Macaca mulatta: one gene and its partners. The main gene of each other region encodes a partner of the protein of the gene in region 2 in a complex. Links are inferred from orthologs where the notes say so. Each region holds a gene or a part of one and is shown on either strand. Other genes may lie near its edges.

Region 1 (4,246 bases), on a different chromosome or scaffold from region 2:
TAGACTTAAAAGTAACTGTAGTAGCAAGGCTGGTATCACCGTCATTAGAAAACCTGGGTATTTTTAAACCAGAAATACAAATGGTAACACTTGTCACTCTGTGTGCCTCCTTATAGTTACAAAGTTCTTTAATAGAAAGTGCAGACTGGGAATGTAAGGAATAAAAGCACTAAGTTCCTTTTTGGGCAGTTGGATACAGTTTTTAATACCGGCTCTGTCACTGGCCAGCTGTACGACCACCTACAACTAAGTAACTACAGACAAATTACCGCAACTTTCTAAGCCTCCATTTCCTGATTTGTAAAATTTGACAAGTCACCTATATCCCAGGAATGTCCAGAGGACTGAGGAGTCAAGGTATGGAAAACAAGCACGCACAGTGCCTTGCACACAAGCAAGCTCACATTGGTTCCTTCTCCCCTTCCCCACATCTCTAATGGAGTATCTTATTAAATCCTCATCTCACCACTATGAAGTTCATATTAGGTTGAAACATAAAAAACAGCAGAATATTAGCAATTTCAACCTAATAGTATTTCCACTGACAAATGGAGAAAATAAGCTCAAATAGGTTAAATGTTTTACTCAAGGTTTTATGCACAGTAAGTGATGGAACTGAACATTAAATAATTTTTCATTCAGCCAGCTCACTAATTTGTTCACTGACTCCTGCTGAGGGGGAAAAAAATATACTAACTACTATAATGCATATAAAACTACTATAATCTACAAAGTATTTTTTCCTGCCATGTTTAAAAAATGAGGGGGTGAAACAGATTTCTAAGAACATTTCCATTTTAAAAAGTATTTGCAGAGGATGTGTGTGTTGGGGGAGGATCAAAGGTAAAGAATATTAGGTCGGGCGCGGTGGCTCAAGCCTGTAATCCCAGCACTTTGGGAGGCCGAGACGTGCGGATCACGAGGTCAGGAGATCGAGACCATCCTGGCTAACACAATGAAACCCCGTCTCTACTAAAAATACAAAAACTTAGCCGGGCGAGGTGGCGGGCGCCTGTAGTCCCAGCTACTCGGGAGGCTGAGGCAGGAGAATGGCGTGAACTCGGGAGGCGGAGTTTGCAGTGAGCTCAGATCCGGCCACTGCACTCCAGCCTGGGTGACAGAGCGAGACTCCGTCTCAAAAAAAAAAAAAAAAAAAAAAAAAAAAAAGAATATTAAAGGAAGCATATGGATAATTACACTAATTCAAAAAGTACAATAGGATCTAGTCAGAAAACCCACAAAGCAGCTAAACATTAAATGGCCATCCTGGTGAAAGGTTACAAGTATTCAATACCACAGATGAGTTGTCTGCCAAATACGGAAGGAAGATTTATATTAAACACTTTGGTTCACAAAGGTATACATCAATATATAACATTACTGCAATGGAAAAAAATGAAAGGCTTTTCCTTCAATAGTTAAAAAATGGACTACTTAACTGTATAACTGTTTATTTCTATAAATTCCACAAGGGCTTTAGCATTAGATCACATAAGCCATATCTGGAATACAATGTCCAAACACGAAAAGTCCTATCAAAATGCACAGTACTAGTAAATAAATAACAAATGGTAATAGTACAAGGCCCCATAAAACTGGTGAAATATTTAACAGTATCAAATATTTACTACGATTGGTCTACAAACCTATTCTGCCTCTTTTCTCCTTGATTTGTCATTCACCACTGGGGGGAAAAAAAAAAAAACCTTCATGAACAACAAAATGAGAAAAAGGATAATGAACAAGAACTGGGTCTTTCAATTGATTTACAAAGGAACAGTTTTGTTGTAATCCTCTTACGGGCCCCTCCTCCAATTATGCAATCATTCCACTGCAAGAGATTACAAGGCTTTTAACCCGACACTGAAAGGAAGGAGTTGGGGTGAAACATGAGAGTGTATAACAGGTAGCCTCCGAACAGGCAACATTTCCATGAAACTAAATTGCCTCTCAGTAATCAGTACTAACTCAGCGCTCTTGTCTTTCAAGACCTTACCCTTTAGCCATTGTAGATATATCTTTTTTTAATCCCATAACAACCGGCAACTCTTTACATGCTGCGGCTTCCACCCAGCATCAATTCTGGAGCGAGGAAGCTCGCGCTTCCCCGGGCGGTCGGGGCGAGTTTTCAACGCTGGGAGGGCAAAGCCGTGCAATCCCATCCGTGCAGCTCGTCTCAACTCCCCCGAACACAAGTCTGGCTGCAAGGAGCTGCCTCTTCGGACGCGACTCCGGGCGCCTGCCCGGAATTTCCCACCAGGTTTCACCGAAACCTCCCGAGGGTGACCTCTACGCCTCAGCACGGTGCCTCTAGCGTCGTTTCCTAAGACTGGGGCACGAAACCACCCCAGGTCCACAGCTATTGCCCCGTCCACAGCCCTGCCGCGCGGCGCCCGGTGTTGTGAGCGGCTACCGACTTGTTCGGGAACTCCGTCTTCATCCCCCTCGCGACCCCGGCCCTCCGCTCCCGGCCGCTCCCGGCCGCTCCCGGCCGCCGCCAGGTAACCCGCCGGGCTCCGGCTCCCTGCCCCGGGCGCGCGGGACCGCGCAGTTAATGTGTAACGCGCCCGTGCCCGGGGGAGGAGCCGCCGCCCGGCGCCCACCAGCAGCCCAGGGGGCGGCCGGCTGACCCGGGGCGCCGAGGTCCCCCCACACGCCGCCCCCAAGAGCCCGGAGCCCAACTGCCCAGGCGGAGAGCGCGCTCACCGGGCCGGGGCATCCCGCCGAACCCCCGCGCGCCGCGCCCTCCACGGCGCCGGCACCTGCACCTGCCGCGGCCGCCCCTCCTGGCCGACTCGCCGGAGGCGGGTGCGCGGGCGCCGAGGGGGGCGGTGCTCCACGCTCCGGGCCTCTCCCTCCCGCGGCCACACTCACCTGACGAACCCACCGCGGCCGCTGCCGGCGCTCACGGGCGCTCACAGAGCCGCAGAGAGCGCGCCCCGAAGCAGCGAGAGGCGGAGGAGGACGGCGAGCCCTTGCCGCTACACTCCACGGTGGCGGGCTCACTACGCCGGCAGCCGCCGAGGGAACGCGGGACTGCGCCTGCGCCGGAAGCGGGGCCGGGGCCCGGGGCCGGGAGCCGGGAGCTGGGAGCGGCCGGTCCTCACGGAGGGTGGGCGGGGCGGGGGGGTGTGGCCGGCAGGGGCGGGGCGGGCCCGGCGTGGGGCCTGGGGGCGGACGCGCTTCCGCGCCCCCTGGCGCCAGGCGGGGCTCGTCGCAGCTGTCACGGGCCTGGCCCCAGGTTCCTCCGCGGGCGGTTTCCCTGGGAACAAGGGCGAGCCCGAGCTGCGCTGTTTCCCGGGGCCCGAGAGGCCACCTCAGGTTGACTTCAGGCATGTTGGGCTCTCCAGAAGGGAGAAGAGGCACCTTCGCCGTGAGTTGAGGACTCCTAGAACCAACCTGAGACTCCGCGGCCATATACATCTTACGACGTGTGTGTGTGTGTGTTTGTGTGGCGGGGGATGGGAGGGGAGGAATCCTGTAGAACCCAGATCCCATCATTCCAGCAACTGCCAGAGCGTTCGAGAATGTCACGCCTGTACCTGTCTTCTCTCATCTTTTGTGCCAACTGTTTTATCAAACTTCCACCCCACTTTAAGTCTTCCAGGTAGGAAAAATACAGAAAGAGCCAAGATCCCAAAAATCGGAAAAAATAAAGAGGCATTCATAGTATGTGTCTCTATGTTTAGCAAAAGAGAAACGTGCAATTTATGTGATACACATATTGAATAGAACCATCATTCTGGGTATTAATCTCATCTATTAGAGGCAGTAAAGAAAAGTAGACTATGTGTATGGCTGTTGGAGTCAGAATTACTGGGTTTGAGCCTGCCACCTGCTAGCTGAGTGACCTTAGGCAAATGAATCTCTAGCCCCAGTTTTCTCATCAGTGAATGAGTATACAAGAACCTGCCTCGCTAAGTCATTGAGAGTTTAAATGACTTAATTCATGTAAACACTTTGCATACTTCATGACACAGGGTGCCTGATGAATATTAGCTATTGTTATTATACCATTATAACTATTATCATGCATCTGTAATCCAGAAACCTAGAAAGTCAGTTTTTCTTATTTTATACCCCGTCACCAATATATCACCAAGTCTTATTCATCCTAATTTCTAAATAATTCTTAAATATATCTTACCTGATATTCATTGCCATTAGAAATGACCTTTCTTATTAACGGACTCCTAACTGTTCTCCCTTACACCACGTAGCTGGTCATTCATTCATCAAACATTTT
Region 2 (4,270 bases):
CCCGGGTTCAAACGATTCTCGTGCCTAAGCCTCCAGAGTAGCTGGGACTACAGGCGCCCACCACCACGCCCGGCTAACTTTTTGTATTTTTAGTAGCGACGGGGTTTCACCTTGTTGGCCAGGCTGGTCTTGAACTGTTGACCTCAGGTGATCCACCCACCTCGGCCTCCCAAAGTGCTGGGATTAAGGCGTGAGCCACCGTGCCCAGCCCTTTTTCCACTTTTAAGTACTCTTACGACAACACTGGGGTCACCCAAATAATCCAGGATAATATCCCTAATTTAATGTCAGCTGATTAGCAACCTTAATTTCATCTGTAACCTCAATTCCCCTTTGCCATGTAACCTAACCTATTCAGTCTCTGGGAATTGGGAAGTGGACATCATTGGCAGGTGGTATTCTTCTGCTTGTTCTAGGCACACTTGCCCACAAGTCTAAATCGAGAGTTTGCATATAGGAGGTAGGAGGTGTGACAATAATTGGATAAAGGCTTTTCTGGAATTACAAAATTCTCTTCAAATACAGGGAGGCCCTGCGGCATGATATCTGGCAAATCACTTGAGTCTTAGTATCCAAATTTCCGCTAAAATGGAAATTGCCATCCTTTGCTCGGCATATTAAATGAAATACTTATGTAAACGGACTTAGATTAGAGGCCTACAAATAGGACTCAAGTTCTTGATGAATCTTGATGAGGAGGGTGGGCGAAGTACTCTAAATGAAAACGAGATAGACTGAGAGATTTCCGGAGAGGAGTGAGTGACAAGCGCCTACCCGTGCATGAAGCTGGAGGTAGAAAATTCCAGCAAAAGGAATTTTCAAGTTTCATTGAAGCTTCTGAATTAAAGTTTGAGGGGCCAGGGTTAAAAAAAAAAAGGTAGTGAAGAGGCTCATTAAGACAACCCCCGCCAGGTAGCAGATAGTACCTCAAATGCAGTGGGAAATTTGTGAGTTCTTCATAGGCAAGGATTAAATTTTACATCTCCATGTTAATATATGTCATAGTTGTTCAATTACTTAGTGAACAAAAAAGTTGTTAAGGAAAAAAAAAAGCACCAATGCAGGTTCCACCGAGATTTGAACTCGGATCGCTGGATTCAGAGTCCAGAGTGCTAACCATTACACCATGGAACCGCCACGCATATGTAGTTGCCTTCGGCTCTCTGATCCTTAGACAACCCCGCCCCCATCCACAAACCCACCACTCACAGGCGGTCCCGCCCGGTTCCAGCGAGTCGCTTCCGGGCACGGTAGCTCGAGAAATAAGCAAGAGGCCACTAAGACCACGGTAGCTAGGAATTCCAGGACTCAGTTTCCCCTTTGAGCCTCCTTTAGCGACGAAAGTTTGAAGCCCCACGCATCGCGACTCTCGTGCATACCGCCCTTCTTGGGTTCAGGGACGGGGAGCCGCCCCCGGAAGTACTTCCCCTTAAAGGCTGGGGCCTGCCGGAAGTGGCGCAGCGGCAAGGAGGGGCTCTTCACCCAGTCCGGCAGTTGAAGCTCGGCGTTCGGGTTACCCCTGCAGCGACGCCCCCTGGTCCCACAGATACCACTGCTGCTCCCGCCCTTTCGCTCCTCGGCCGCGCAATGGGCACCCGCGACGACGAGTACGACTACCTCTTTAAAGGTGAGGCCATGGGCTCTCGCACTCTACACAGTCCCCGTTCGGGGACCCGGGACACACTCGGCGGACGTGCCGGCCACCCGTGCACTGATAGAGGCCTGCCTCAGCCCTTCCTTTTTGTGTGGTTCCGTCTCCTACCCAGCTCAGCTTCTCTCCTCCTCAGACAGGGGTCCCCATCACATGCCGCTCTCTGAGCGACCTCTCCGTGGGCCTTGGCTGGCCTCACAGCCCCTCCCTGCGTGTCCTTCCCCTGGCGGACTGCCTTCTCGCATATCGTCGAATTCCTTTCCCTGGGTTCTGCGGCCCCGCCGCCCCTCCCACCATCTCTCTTTTCGGGTGTAGCGCCCCCTCCCCCTCAGCGTACACCTTTCCCGGCTGGCGTCCTCTCCCGAAGCCCCTGTGACGGGTTCTTCGCTTCCCTCTTGGCCTTGCCTTCGGTGCAGACTCCCACTACAGGTCTTTTCTTATCTGCCCCCTTTCCCCCTCGAGCGAGCCTCTTTTCTGCATATCTCCTCCCCTTGTTCGGCCCCCCCTCTAAGCTTCTCGCATCCCGGGTCCAGGACCCGGTAAAATCTGAGCGGGCCAGGGGTCCCCACCCCCACCCTCCGCCCCGCGGTTCTCGCGGTCCTTAACCTTCTCTGACCGCTCCCTCCCCCACTCCCCATTTGGCAACTCTCTCTACCTTCCCTCCCCAGATCGTGTTTAGAGCTCCCTGGTCTCCGTTGCGACCCGGGTGGTGGGAGGGTAAGAGGGATCGACCATCACCCAGTCGCGCACTTGTCGCAGTGACCCGGCAGGCTGACATTACTTCCCACCTAGCCTTTTATTATCTTGCTCTCCCTACTCAGTGGCACACAACCCGGGATAACTCTTTACTCGGTTCGCGAGAAGAGGTTGCGGATGGGTGGTGGCTGTTATCCTTGCCAGACCTGAAGGCCCGGTTCCTGAGCAGGAAAGGTTGTGCGCTGCACAAATACTAGCTTGCTTTATCTCTATGGACTGGTTGCTTCCTGCTGCAACACTGGGAGGATCCAACAGGAAGGGAAGAGCCCTAGTTGGCCACATACCTTTCCCAAAAGGTTGGGGGTAGGAAGGAAGTTGTGTGCTCTTTTGGTCACATTAAATATTTATTATAAGGTACGGAAACATGTAGTGCCCTTGGATAGAACATATCGGAGGGTCAGGGTTGGTTAGAAAGAATTGCTTATTGGTTGAGTCCGGAAGGAATCCAATTTTTTTTTTTAGTCAACGAAGATAAAGGGTACATTTTTCAATAAGAAGAAAGTACAGTAGATGCTTTTATTGTTCAGTGAATGTACTCTCACTCTGATGCTCTTTCTCTGCTCCTGAATTGGGAAGGTAGCCATCAGTAGTGTGCTGAACAAAGATCATTACCACTGAGGAAGAAGCCATTGCTATTAAAGCTTTACTGTGGAGGGTGGAGTTTAAAGAGTGTTAAGCATGGTGACTGTTTCTGTCTTTGCCATTGGGTGCTAAGAATGATTGACTAAACCAAGCAGGAAAGATTTGTTTGCTTTCCCAATACTTTGCAAATCTTGTTATACTAGCCTGCTGTTGTACTCTTGTCGTCTCTTACGCCTCTGACCCAGAATATTCTATTGTATAGGGTGAATACTTTTGGTATCCCCCCTCCACCCCATGCTGGAAAGTACTTTCAGGGTACTTAGTTCATTTTACAAATACAAAACTCAGACCTGGATTACAGAAAGTATACTATAGCATACGTTTTGCCGAAGGTATCTGAGATGATGTGAAATTATTTGAATCTCTTGAGACTTTGGGGTTAAAGGGAGGTTTGTGTTTTAAAATATGGTATAATGGTAGTGTGCCTTTATAAAGGCTGTCTTTGAAGTAATTAATTCAGAACAAGATAGACCGTCAGGGTATTTCTCCTATTTGGTTTGAACTGGAATGTTGGTTATACAAGGTCCTTTTATTTTTTAACAAAGAATATTAAATATTCTGAATTGGCCTAAAGTATTTCAGCTTTTTGATTAGACCATCCTTCTAGCAACGATTGAGAGCACCGAGCTTTGGAATTAACGTAGATTTCGGTTTAGATCCTGACTCAGGTCTTATATTTACTATATGACCTTGGAAAAGTTAACTTTTCTGAGTCTCAGTTCTCTCATTTATGTAAAGGAAAATACCTGTCTCTTAAGATTGTTGTGAGAGTTAAATGAGACTATTTGTAAAATTTTAACCATGAGGACTCAATAAATGGTAATAATGTGAAAGAAGTTACTGTGGTTTTGTCAGTTTTTTTTTTTTTTTTTTTTTTTTGAGACAGGGTCTCGCTCTGTCCCCCAGGCTGGAGTGCAGTGGCACAATCAAGGCTCACTGCAGTCTCGGCCTCCTCAGGCTCAGGTGACCCTCCCACCTCAGCCTCCCTAGCTACTCTCTAGCTCCTAAGAGTAGCTGAGACTACAAGAGTGCAGCACCACGTCCAGCTAATTTTTTTTTTTTTTTTTGTAAAGACAGGGTTTTGCCATGTTGCCCAGGCTGGTCTCGCACTCCTGGACTTAAGCAATCCACCTGCCTCAGCCCCCGCCAAGTGCTGGGATTATAGGCGTGAGCCAGTGTGCCTGGCCTTTGTCGGTTTTTTGAACCTTAAATGTAGGTTCA
Region 3 (3,953 bases), on a different chromosome or scaffold from region 2:
TCCTTGGGTTGGGGCCTCTTCCTTGGATCGCTTAAAGCTCCCCAGTTGACTCTCATTGTGGAGGCGCCCACGGGAAGGCCTGCACAGGTGAATTACAACGGGATCTTGCGTTCCAGGTGGGATGCCTTTGAGAATCACCCTCTGAGGCTCCTAAACAACTGCCCCGGCTGGTATAGATAGATCTTCTGGTGGAGAACCACTTTTCAGGGGCCACCCCTGGTTCAGGGACACATGCCACCTTCAGAAGGGAGTGTCTCGTCTGACAGCCCTGGTCTCCTTCCACAGACTCCTGGCAGTCTTTTTTTTTCTTGACTGAAATTTCTACTTTTCACTGGAAGTAGGAAAAGAGCTGAAGTTGCTGTAGGCAGCCAAGTGCCATGGGCAGAGAGGGAACACAAATAAACGAGGTAGTGAGTGGCAGAAAGACCGGGAGTCTGCATGTAGGAGAGACGGGGGTTGGGAGAACGTGAGACTTCCCGGAAAAGCAAGAGCCCTCTGAGAGGAGTGGCCTGGAGTCTCCTTGGAGGCTGTGGGCGAAAGTGGCCAATATTTGTACAGAAGAAGTTACGACTCCCACCTTTCTGACGGATTTCCGCGCAGAGAGTTCAGTTTGAAGGAGAAGATCCTTGGTGTACGTATGTCCAGGTCGCCTTAATAACGATCTACGAGTAACTGAATTTTAATGAAAGCGCTGAATACAGCCAGGTAAAATCGAGGGCAACGTCCGGGGCCTTCCAGCCATAGAAGTTTCTCTCTTTTCCCCGCTCTCTGGTTAGTTCCTCTCCCCTTTTCTTGTGTGCACCGCGTGCGTGCCGGACTCCGCCGGGCCGGGTGCGGGTGGAAGAGCAGGTGCTGGCACCGGGGCGCACCTGTGCCTGCGCGTGCGGCGTCCAGCAGGGGGCGGCCCGCGCCGGTCCCCGAGCTCCGCTCTGAGCGCCCCGCCCCCGGCCCGGAGGCCCAGGTGGCAGCGGGGGCGCGGGAGGGCGCGTCGGGCCGGGCACCGGCAGGGCTCAGAGGCGCGGCGGCGCACGGGCAGTCCGCTCTGACGCGCGCGGGTCCTCCCTCCTCGCCGGCCCTCGCCTCCTCCCTACACCTGGGCGGGGAGCGGCGTCGCGCTGCCTCCTCCCCCGGCGCTCGCAACTCCTGTCCGGCCGCTGCTGCGCCGCCGCCGCAGGAGTAAAGGTCGCGCCGCCGGGAGCGAGCCGGCCGCTGTGCCTCCGGGAAGCCGGCGGGGCAGATCGGAGAAGAGCGAGAAGATCGAGAAACTCCAGGCCAGCCCAGGAACATGGCGCCAGGCGGGCCGGCCGCGGACTGAGAGCCGCGGTGCAACGGGGAGCCGGGGCTTGAGCCCCGCCCAGCCCGGGCCATGTCGGTGGGCGAGCTCTACAGCCAGGTGAGCGCAGCCGCGGGAGAGGCGCCGCGGGGCCGGGGCGGAGCGCTCGGGGCCACCTGGCACTCAGGGTCGCCTTCTCCCTCGGCTACTGGAGGCGGGAGGTGACGGGAGACCCCTCCTGGTGTCCCCCGCGTCTCCGTCCTCGGCGTCCCTAACTTCTGTTGGCGGAGAAAGTTTAGCGGTTCCGGGAACGCCCGCACTGACCGGCCGCCCGGCTCCTGGAGATTCCGCAGCGCCACGGCTCAGCCCCAAGCCGGTGCTGTCGCCCCCTCCCCGCCGCGCCCCTCACTTTCGTTGCCTGGGCTGGGTTCCAGCTGAGTTCCCCGAACCGCGGGGGCGACTCTGCCAGCTCTGAGCGCCGTGCTCGGACGGTCCCCCGCGGTGCGCCCGCCGCTGTCCCCTGTCCCCGCCGTGGACCCCGCCCCAGGGGTTCTGCGGCGCCGGCTCTCGAGGGTTCGCCTCCGAGGCGTCCTTTCCTCACGCATACCCACAACAGGGAACCCTGGACTTGGGAGAGGTGGGGGTTCTGGACTTGGTGGAGAGGGAGGAGACTCAACCTGGCGTGAGGGCGCGGCAGCTGGATGGAGTGGGGGTAAGCGATGGGTAGAGGGGTGCTCCGTTATCTCCGGAGACCCCAGGGAAGAGCATTGTGAATTTGCTGGGGATGGGTATTTTGACGCGGCCCCTCTGGTACCAAGAGAGCTTCAGTGACTGTGGGGAAGGGGGTTGGAGTAAAGCCGAACTGGGAGCAGGGTGTGAGTTTCAGGATGCCTTCAAGGTCAGAAGGGATGTGCGAGGCTGGGTGCTCCGAATCCGGAACAGGTGCAGCCTGGGCGGAGACGCCCGCGTTCCGCAGCAGTTGCTGTGGTTAAAGTTAGGGACGAGCCACCGCTTCCAGGGGAGCTGGAGGCAGCGCTGCAGCCGTCCGGGACCCCTCAAGTTTCACCCTGGAGTCAGGAGTGAGATGGGCAAAGGCCTTTTCTTCACATGTGCCCTTTAGGAAAACAAGTTTTGGATAGTCCAATGCCTGGTTTTCCTGTTCATCTTCTTGGGTGGCCAAAACACATACGACAGTGCCTGTGCACACGCCTCCGTGCAGAGTTGTGTGTGCGTGTGGTGTCCGCGCGCGTTGTGTGGGTGTGCGATTCCCGGGACACCTGCCCGGGCCATCAGGTCTGGGCTGGGTAGGAACAGTCACTTCTGCGTCCTTACCTGGAGAGCACTCGCGGCTGTCCAGCACATGTGGGGGAGCCCTTCTGCTCCGTGAACTGGCAACCCTTCTAAGTTTGAGGAATTTTAAACTCTCGCCTTCCTCCTGGAGCGGGGAGCAGGGCCGGGATGGGTTCACGCTCATGAAGGTGGCCGCGGAGGCTGTCACCTGGCTGGGGGTGGGGACGCAGCAGCCTCAGATACTACTTCCTAGCCCACCAGGGACCTCCTGTGCAGCGATCAGGGATGGGCGACGGCCTCTGGGGGAGGAGGGGAGGAGGCGAGGAGGCGAGGAGGCGGGAGCCAGGGCGTCAACTCTGTGGCAGTCCTAGGCTTGGAATGGCACTCCACCCCTCTTGGCTGTGGAGGTATTGGGAGGATCCCTAAAAGCTCAGGTTTTTTCCCTGAAGCCGGTTAGGTTTCAGGAGCTGGGACTGGAGGCTGGAAGCCAGTGAAGGCAGGGGAAAAATCTGAACTGGAGTGCTCAAAGCCGAAGCTTTGTTACATTAAAGTGCATGGAGATGCAAATTGTACTCCTAAGTAAAAGGAATGACTCAACTGAATATACCTCCAATGTGTCAAAGTCCTTTGTCAGGCAATATTGAATTGCTGTTATTATATGAGGGGGAGAGTTTGTGGGGTAAAATGGAGTTAAAAGTTTAAAAATATAAACTTTATTTCTCAACGCAATTTCCATCAAGGTCAAGACACTTTTGAAAGTTATACCAGCCACCTAGTTCGTCCCTAAAGAACCGAGGGTCCTGGGAATTTAACCATGCCAATGCAGTCTTACATTATTAACTGGAAAAGATGCAGGTCATTAACTTCGAGATTAGGACACAAAGTCAGAAGGAGCCAAATCAGGACTGTGAGGTGGACGCCTAATAGTTTTCCGTAGAAACTCTTGCAAAATTGCTCTTCTTTGAGAGGAATGAGGAGCATTGTTGTGGCAGAAAATGACTTTTCTGGTGACGTTTCCTTGGTGTTTTTCTGCTAAAGCTTTGACTTCCTCAAGACACTTGTAATAAGCAGATGTCATCATCATTTGGTCTTCTAGAAAGTCAAGCAAAATGGCTTGAGCAGTCCTCCAAAATGCTGCTATGATCTCTGCTCTGAACCAGTCCACCTTTGCTGTGACTGGACCTCTTTCACCTCTTGGAAGTCTTTGCTTTGATTGGGCTTTGTCTTCAGGATTATACTGGGAGAGCCACATTTCATCCCCTGTTACAATTCAAAGAAATGCTTCAGGGTCTTGATCCCACTTGTTTAGAATTTCCATCCAAAGCTCTGCTCTTGTCTGCAATTGATCTGGGTGCAGCAGTTTTGGTATCCATCAAGTGGGAACTTTGCT
Region 4 (4,278 bases), on a different chromosome or scaffold from region 2:
AGAAGAGGCATCTAAGGTCTAAGAGCCAAAAGATCTAGTTCTACCCCTGTGAGGCCTTGGGAGAGCTACATTAACCTTTCTGAGTTTCTGGTTTCTTACCTGCAAAGTGGGGATGAATCATGCTTGCCTACCATCTCAGAGAACTGTGGTATAATCCAGTGGAAACATACCTGAGCCTCACAGAAGCTCTCTATCAAAGTTGGGTTATGGTAACAAGGAGCAAAGGTGGTACTCTCCTGCCTTCTTTGCTGTACTAAAGCAAGAGTATGTTTGAGAGAAGACACAGTGCACTAGCCAACAGCAACCAAGGGAGCTCAAGGTGCTCTCCAGGTCAGAGGCAAGAAGGAAACACAGCAAAACACCTAGACCAGCAACCACCATCCACACTGACGATACCGGAAAGTATCAGTCACATATTTTACTGCCCATTAGAGTAGGTGGAAAACTATCCTGACAATATCCCAACTGGAGCTAAGCACGTGAGCAGTGCAGGCTGCCCCACAGGCAACCTGTCTGTACACCTTCTTAGTGTGAACTCAGTAAGGAACACTGATTTATCAGGCCCCTGTTTTTTCTTTTTTTTTTTTTTGTTTTTTTTTGAGATGGAAGTCTCGCTCTCGCCCAGGCTGGAGGGCAGTGGCACAATCTCAGCTCACTGCAAGCTCCGCCTCCTGGGCTCAGGCCATTCTCCTGCCTCAGCCTCCCAAATAGCAGGGACTACAGGTGCCTACCACCACACCGGCTAATTTTTTTGTATTTTTTAGTAGAGATGGGGTTTCACCATGTTAGCCAGGATGGTCTCGATCTCCTGACCTCGTGATCCGCCCGCCTCGGCCTCCCAAAGTGCTGGGATTACAGGCGTGAGCCACCGCGCCTGCCCATCAAGGTTCTTAATGTTATGACTGACACCCTAAATAGCAGTGTGCCAATTTTACCTCTTTTCTTACAGACCTTTGGCTTAAACATGCATATGTACTTGAACACCCACTTACCATATGCCTGCATGTGTGAGAAGTCAACAAAATACAAAAAATTGACAGATGCACCTTAGGGATTTCCTACAAAGTAAACTATTTAAAAGTGAGCGCTGGTATTATTTGATGTCCACTGGGTTATTGGCAGAACACACACAGCCCTGCTGTTATCTCCACTTAAACTTATTAAGTGCTGAGGTAGATAGCAATGACTGCATCTTCCGGCCCACCTTCCCCCCAGGAGCAGGCGCCCTGAGGACCGCGCGGACCCCTGCCACACTGTATTGTGCGCAGTGCCTGTCCACGCATTTCACCTCTCCTGCTAGAGTGGAGGTGGCCGTAATGGAGTTCTGCTAGACTTCTGTATTTGCCAACAAGCTCAGAGGCTCATTCCCTTCCTCCCCAAAGGCACCAAAGTAAAAATTCTTAATTCCAGGACCTTCTACAAGCATCGACTGTCTCCCAAACAATAAAAGATTAAATCTAAGTAGAAAAGATGTCAACCACGCACAGTAAAGTAATTGTGCTCAAAATAGGTATCTATCAGTAGGATCTCAAGGTGTCTGGGCAGCCTGGCCTCTGCGGCTCGAACTTGGGTAAATTCAGCCAAGCAGTATCTGGGCCCTCGGGCGAGGGAATCGCGGGGAACTTTTTCATTCAGGGGCACGTCGATCAGGCACCCTGGGGGGGTGTCCCCAGGCCAGGAGCAGACCTCTGTAAGATCCAGCTGACGGGGCGATGGGGGGATGGGAAAAAACTGACTCCCCAGAATAGAACCTCCTTTTAAGAAGGGAATAGGGACTCCAGTGAAATTCAACCAGAAAACCAGGGCCGAAGTGGTGAATAAGCAGCAAAAGCAGGACTCGCAGGTCTTGACAATGCCTTTGCCGACTCCATGGGCCGCGTCGACCGGTCCCACATCAACCCCGCAGGCCAGACGCGCACCTGCCCGGTTCCCACGCCACGGCCCGGGCCGCTCCGTACCTGCTCTGCCCCGTAGACCGTGGCAAACTGGACGAAGTCCTCGATGCGGACGAAACCGTCCCCATCCCCGTCCAGGGCATCGAACACGGCTCGGAGGCGGGGGCCGTCCTCCTGACTCCCCGCGGGCTCGCTCGGAAGGGGGTGGGTCTGGCTGAGATCCGAGGGCTGCGGCGGGGACCCGGGACCCTCATCCAGCGCCAGCTCGCCCGCCGTGGGCGCGGGGAAGGGAGAGAAGAGGTCGACCTCGCCCCGCGCTCGGTGGCTGCTGCTGGACCCCTGCAAGCGGTAAGGCGCGCTCTCCGGGCAGCCCACGGGGCCACACTCCTCGGGCTTCTCAGTCCAGGAGAACAACGGGTCGAGTTCTGGAAGCGGCGCCTCGGAGCGGCGCCCTGGGCCCGGGGCTTCCGGGCTCTCGAGCTGCCCCAGCGGGCCGGAGCGTGGCGGCGGGGCGGGCGCCCCGGGGTCCCCCGGGCCTCCCTCCAGCCCCGGGGCCGGCCCGGCGCTCCAGCGCGCCCCGCCATCCGCAGCGGCTCCGGGTGCAGGCTCATCCAGGCCCGGGGGCTCCGGATCGGAGCCAGCGGCGAGCGCTCCGAGGCGTAGCTCCGCAGGGCCCGGCGCCGGCTGCGTCGCCCCCGGCCCGTCCGGCCCGCCCGGCTCCGGGTCGGGCCCCGGCGGCTCCGAGCCCGGGGGCGAGGCCGGCGGGGCCGACGCCATGCTCCTCAGAGGCTAGTGGTGCGGAGGGCGCGGGCGGCAGACAAAGGCGCTCAGGGCGCGGCGGCGGGCGCGGGCATCCCCTCGGCGGCGCGGGCGGGCGCGCGCGGGGCGCCCGGGCTGCTGGGGCTGGCGCTCGGGCCCTGCTCCGTCCTCGCCCATCTTCGCGCCGCGCCTCAGCTGCCCTCGGCCCGGCGGCGAGGCGGGCGCAGGCCCATGGCGGCGGGGCGGCCTAGGGAGGGCGGCGAGGGGCCGGGCGGCGGGCGACAGCGGACGGGGGCCGAGGACACCGGAGGCCGCGCAGCCTGTGAAGCAGGATGAGGAGACTAAGGAGGCTGAGACTCCTGAGGTACCCGGAGAACTAACGCCGCCGCCGCTGCCCCGGCCCCGCCCTCCGTCGGGCTTGACGTCAGCACGTCCCGGCGGTGCCCCAGCCCCTCGCCGGCTTCCTATAAAGGCAGGCGCCGGGAGTGTCGCGGCAGTGCGGCGGCTGCGGGGGGTGTTCCGCTGTCTTGTATGCCTCGTCTCGCCGGAGCTGGGGTCTCGAGCTTCAGGCGCGGGACGCCGGGGTGCTCCAAGGCTGCGAGTGGAGGCGTGGCGTGACGTGACGTCCCTGGCAAGGGGCGCGCGGAGTCAAACCTTACTTAGAACGGTTCCCGACGTACAGCTACCAGCGGGCGCAACCGAGACCGCGACCCACGCATGGTGCGGACGAGTAAACGGCACCGCGCGGCGAGCGAGAGACGCACAGGGACATAGCCCCCTGGGAGCTGAGCCCTTCCGGGGTAAAGCGTTCTCACGTTGATGAGACCAGGAGGCGGCGCACTCCTGGCTCCGCGGCCCAGGGGTCGCAGGTGCCTCAGGGGTTGTGAGGCGCAGACGCTGCAGAGGGCGAGGCCCAACCCAGACCCCGCGCTGACCCGGCGGACGCAGGGTCTGACACGGAGTGCGGAGGGGCCCCAGACACGCAGTCCATGTCCCTCGAAACCAGAGGCAGGCGCGGCCACGCGCTAGGCCTTTCCCTTAAGCCTGTGACCAAGGTCTCCAAGACGCCCAGCGTTGGGACGGGCGCGGTGCCCCACGCCCAAGCAGGAGGATCGCTTGCGCCCAGGAGTTCGAGACCAACCTGGGCACCAAAGCGAGACCTCGTCTTTACAAGAAAATAAGACTAAAGAAGACACCCAGCGTTAATCGCCCGTCTGCAGCCAGCCTCACGAGCACCGTGGCCGCGTTTGACAACTGACCTCTGTGTCTAGGTGTCCCTGTCCTCAGAGGGACACAGAACCTCAGACAGGACCACAGCCTGGCGGCAGGCATGACGGTGGGACAGACTAGTTAGGAGCAGGTGAGGCACTAAATTTAGCCTGTCGTGATTTGTATCAGGGAAATGATGAACTTGTATTTTTACACACCTTGGGCACCAACACAAGATACGGTTTCGTAAGCAGCTTTGGCAAAAATCAAAGGAACGGAACCTCTGCTTCCAAGTGTACGGTCAGGAGCAGCGTATTAATTGAGTGAGTCATCTCCCGTGGCATAATCTCAGGGGACATGGGACCAGACTTTGTGAGGCTGGCATTGGGAAAAGGAAGATGAGGGGTCCCCCTCC

What was found.
Region 1: the proteins of RAB11A (region 2) and RAB3IP are in contact, whole or in part, in a crystal structure (PDB 4UJ5), measured with the Homo sapiens proteins. The link is inferred for Macaca mulatta from reciprocal best matches to the Homo sapiens genes RAB11A and RAB3IP. Residues at the interface, in NP_004654.1 of Homo sapiens: Phe36, Leu38, Glu39, Asp127, Leu128, Arg129, His130, Leu131, Arg132, Ala133, Pro135, Thr136, Leu156; in NP_783322.1 of Homo sapiens: Asn367, Thr368, Leu369, Ser370, Ile371, Glu372, Pro373, Asp412, Arg424, Thr428, Cys431, Asn432, Thr435, Tyr439, Leu444, Val445, Lys446, Gln447, Gln448.
Region 3: the proteins of RAB11A (region 2) and MYO5B are in contact, whole or in part, in a crystal structure (PDB 4LX0), measured with the Homo sapiens proteins. The link is inferred for Macaca mulatta from reciprocal best matches to the Homo sapiens genes RAB11A and MYO5B. Residues at the interface, in NP_004654.1 of Homo sapiens: Leu11, Lys13, Arg33, Glu35, Ile44, Gly45, Val46, Glu47, Phe48, Ala49, Thr50, Gln63, Trp65, Glu71, Arg72, Tyr73, Arg74, Ala75, Ile76, Thr77, Ala79, Tyr80, Arg82, Gly83; in NP_001073936.1 of Homo sapiens: Ile1627, Gln1628, Gly1629, Leu1630, Trp1706, Met1710, Arg1713, Tyr1714, Ser1717, Gln1718, Glu1721, Arg1724, Gln1745, Leu1747, Gln1748, Leu1749, Lys1750, Lys1751, Glu1755, Ala1759, Leu1763, Tyr1779, Glu1786.
Region 4: the proteins of RAB11A (region 2) and RAB11FIP3 are in contact, whole or in part, in a crystal structure (PDB 2HV8), measured with the Homo sapiens proteins. The link is inferred for Macaca mulatta from reciprocal best matches to the Homo sapiens genes RAB11A and RAB11FIP3. Residues at the interface, in NP_004654.1 of Homo sapiens: Arg33, Ile44, Gly45, Val46, Glu47, Phe48, Ala49, Thr50, Trp65, Arg72, Arg74, Ala75, Ile76, Ala79, Tyr80, Arg82; in NP_055515.1 of Homo sapiens: Asn731, Phe732, Gln735, Ile738, Asp739, Arg740, Ile742, Val743, Met746, Glu747, Pro750, Ser751, Leu753, Glu754, Val755, Lys756.

The regions. Positions count from the first base shown.
Region 1 is NC_133416.1:76,867,345-76,871,590, reverse strand, and holds the start of RAB3IP (rab-3A-interacting protein), read right to left. Parts: upstream 2,801-4,246; 5' UTR 2,035-2,800; coding exon 1,997-2,034; intron 1-1,996. UniProt on the Homo sapiens protein: Guanine nucleotide exchange factor (GEF) which may activate RAB8A and RAB8B. Promotes the exchange of GDP to GTP, converting inactive GDP-bound Rab proteins into their active GTP-bound form.
Region 2 is NC_133412.1:43,316,985-43,321,254, forward strand, and holds the start of RAB11A (ras-related protein Rab-11A), read left to right. Parts: upstream 1-1,470; 5' UTR 1,471-1,587; coding exon 1,588-1,627; intron 1,628-4,270. UniProt on the Homo sapiens protein: The small GTPases Rab are key regulators of intracellular membrane trafficking, from the formation of transport vesicles to their fusion with membranes.
Region 3 is NC_133423.1:42,113,701-42,117,653, forward strand, and holds the start of MYO5B (unconventional myosin-Vb), read left to right. Parts: upstream 1-1,153; 5' UTR 1,154-1,366; coding exon 1,367-1,393; intron 1,394-3,953. UniProt on the Homo sapiens protein: May be involved in vesicular trafficking via its association with the CART complex. The CART complex is necessary for efficient transferrin receptor recycling but not for EGFR degradation.
Region 4 is NC_133425.1:1,632,344-1,636,621, reverse strand, and holds the start of RAB11FIP3 (rab11 family-interacting protein 3), read right to left. Parts: upstream 2,801-4,278; 5' UTR 2,673-2,800; coding exon 1,959-2,672; intron 651-1,958; exon of another isoform or gene 1-650. UniProt on the Homo sapiens protein: Downstream effector molecule for Rab11 GTPase which is involved in endocytic trafficking, cytokinesis and intracellular ciliogenesis by participating in membrane delivery. Recruited by Rab11 to endosomes where it links Rab11 to dynein motor complex.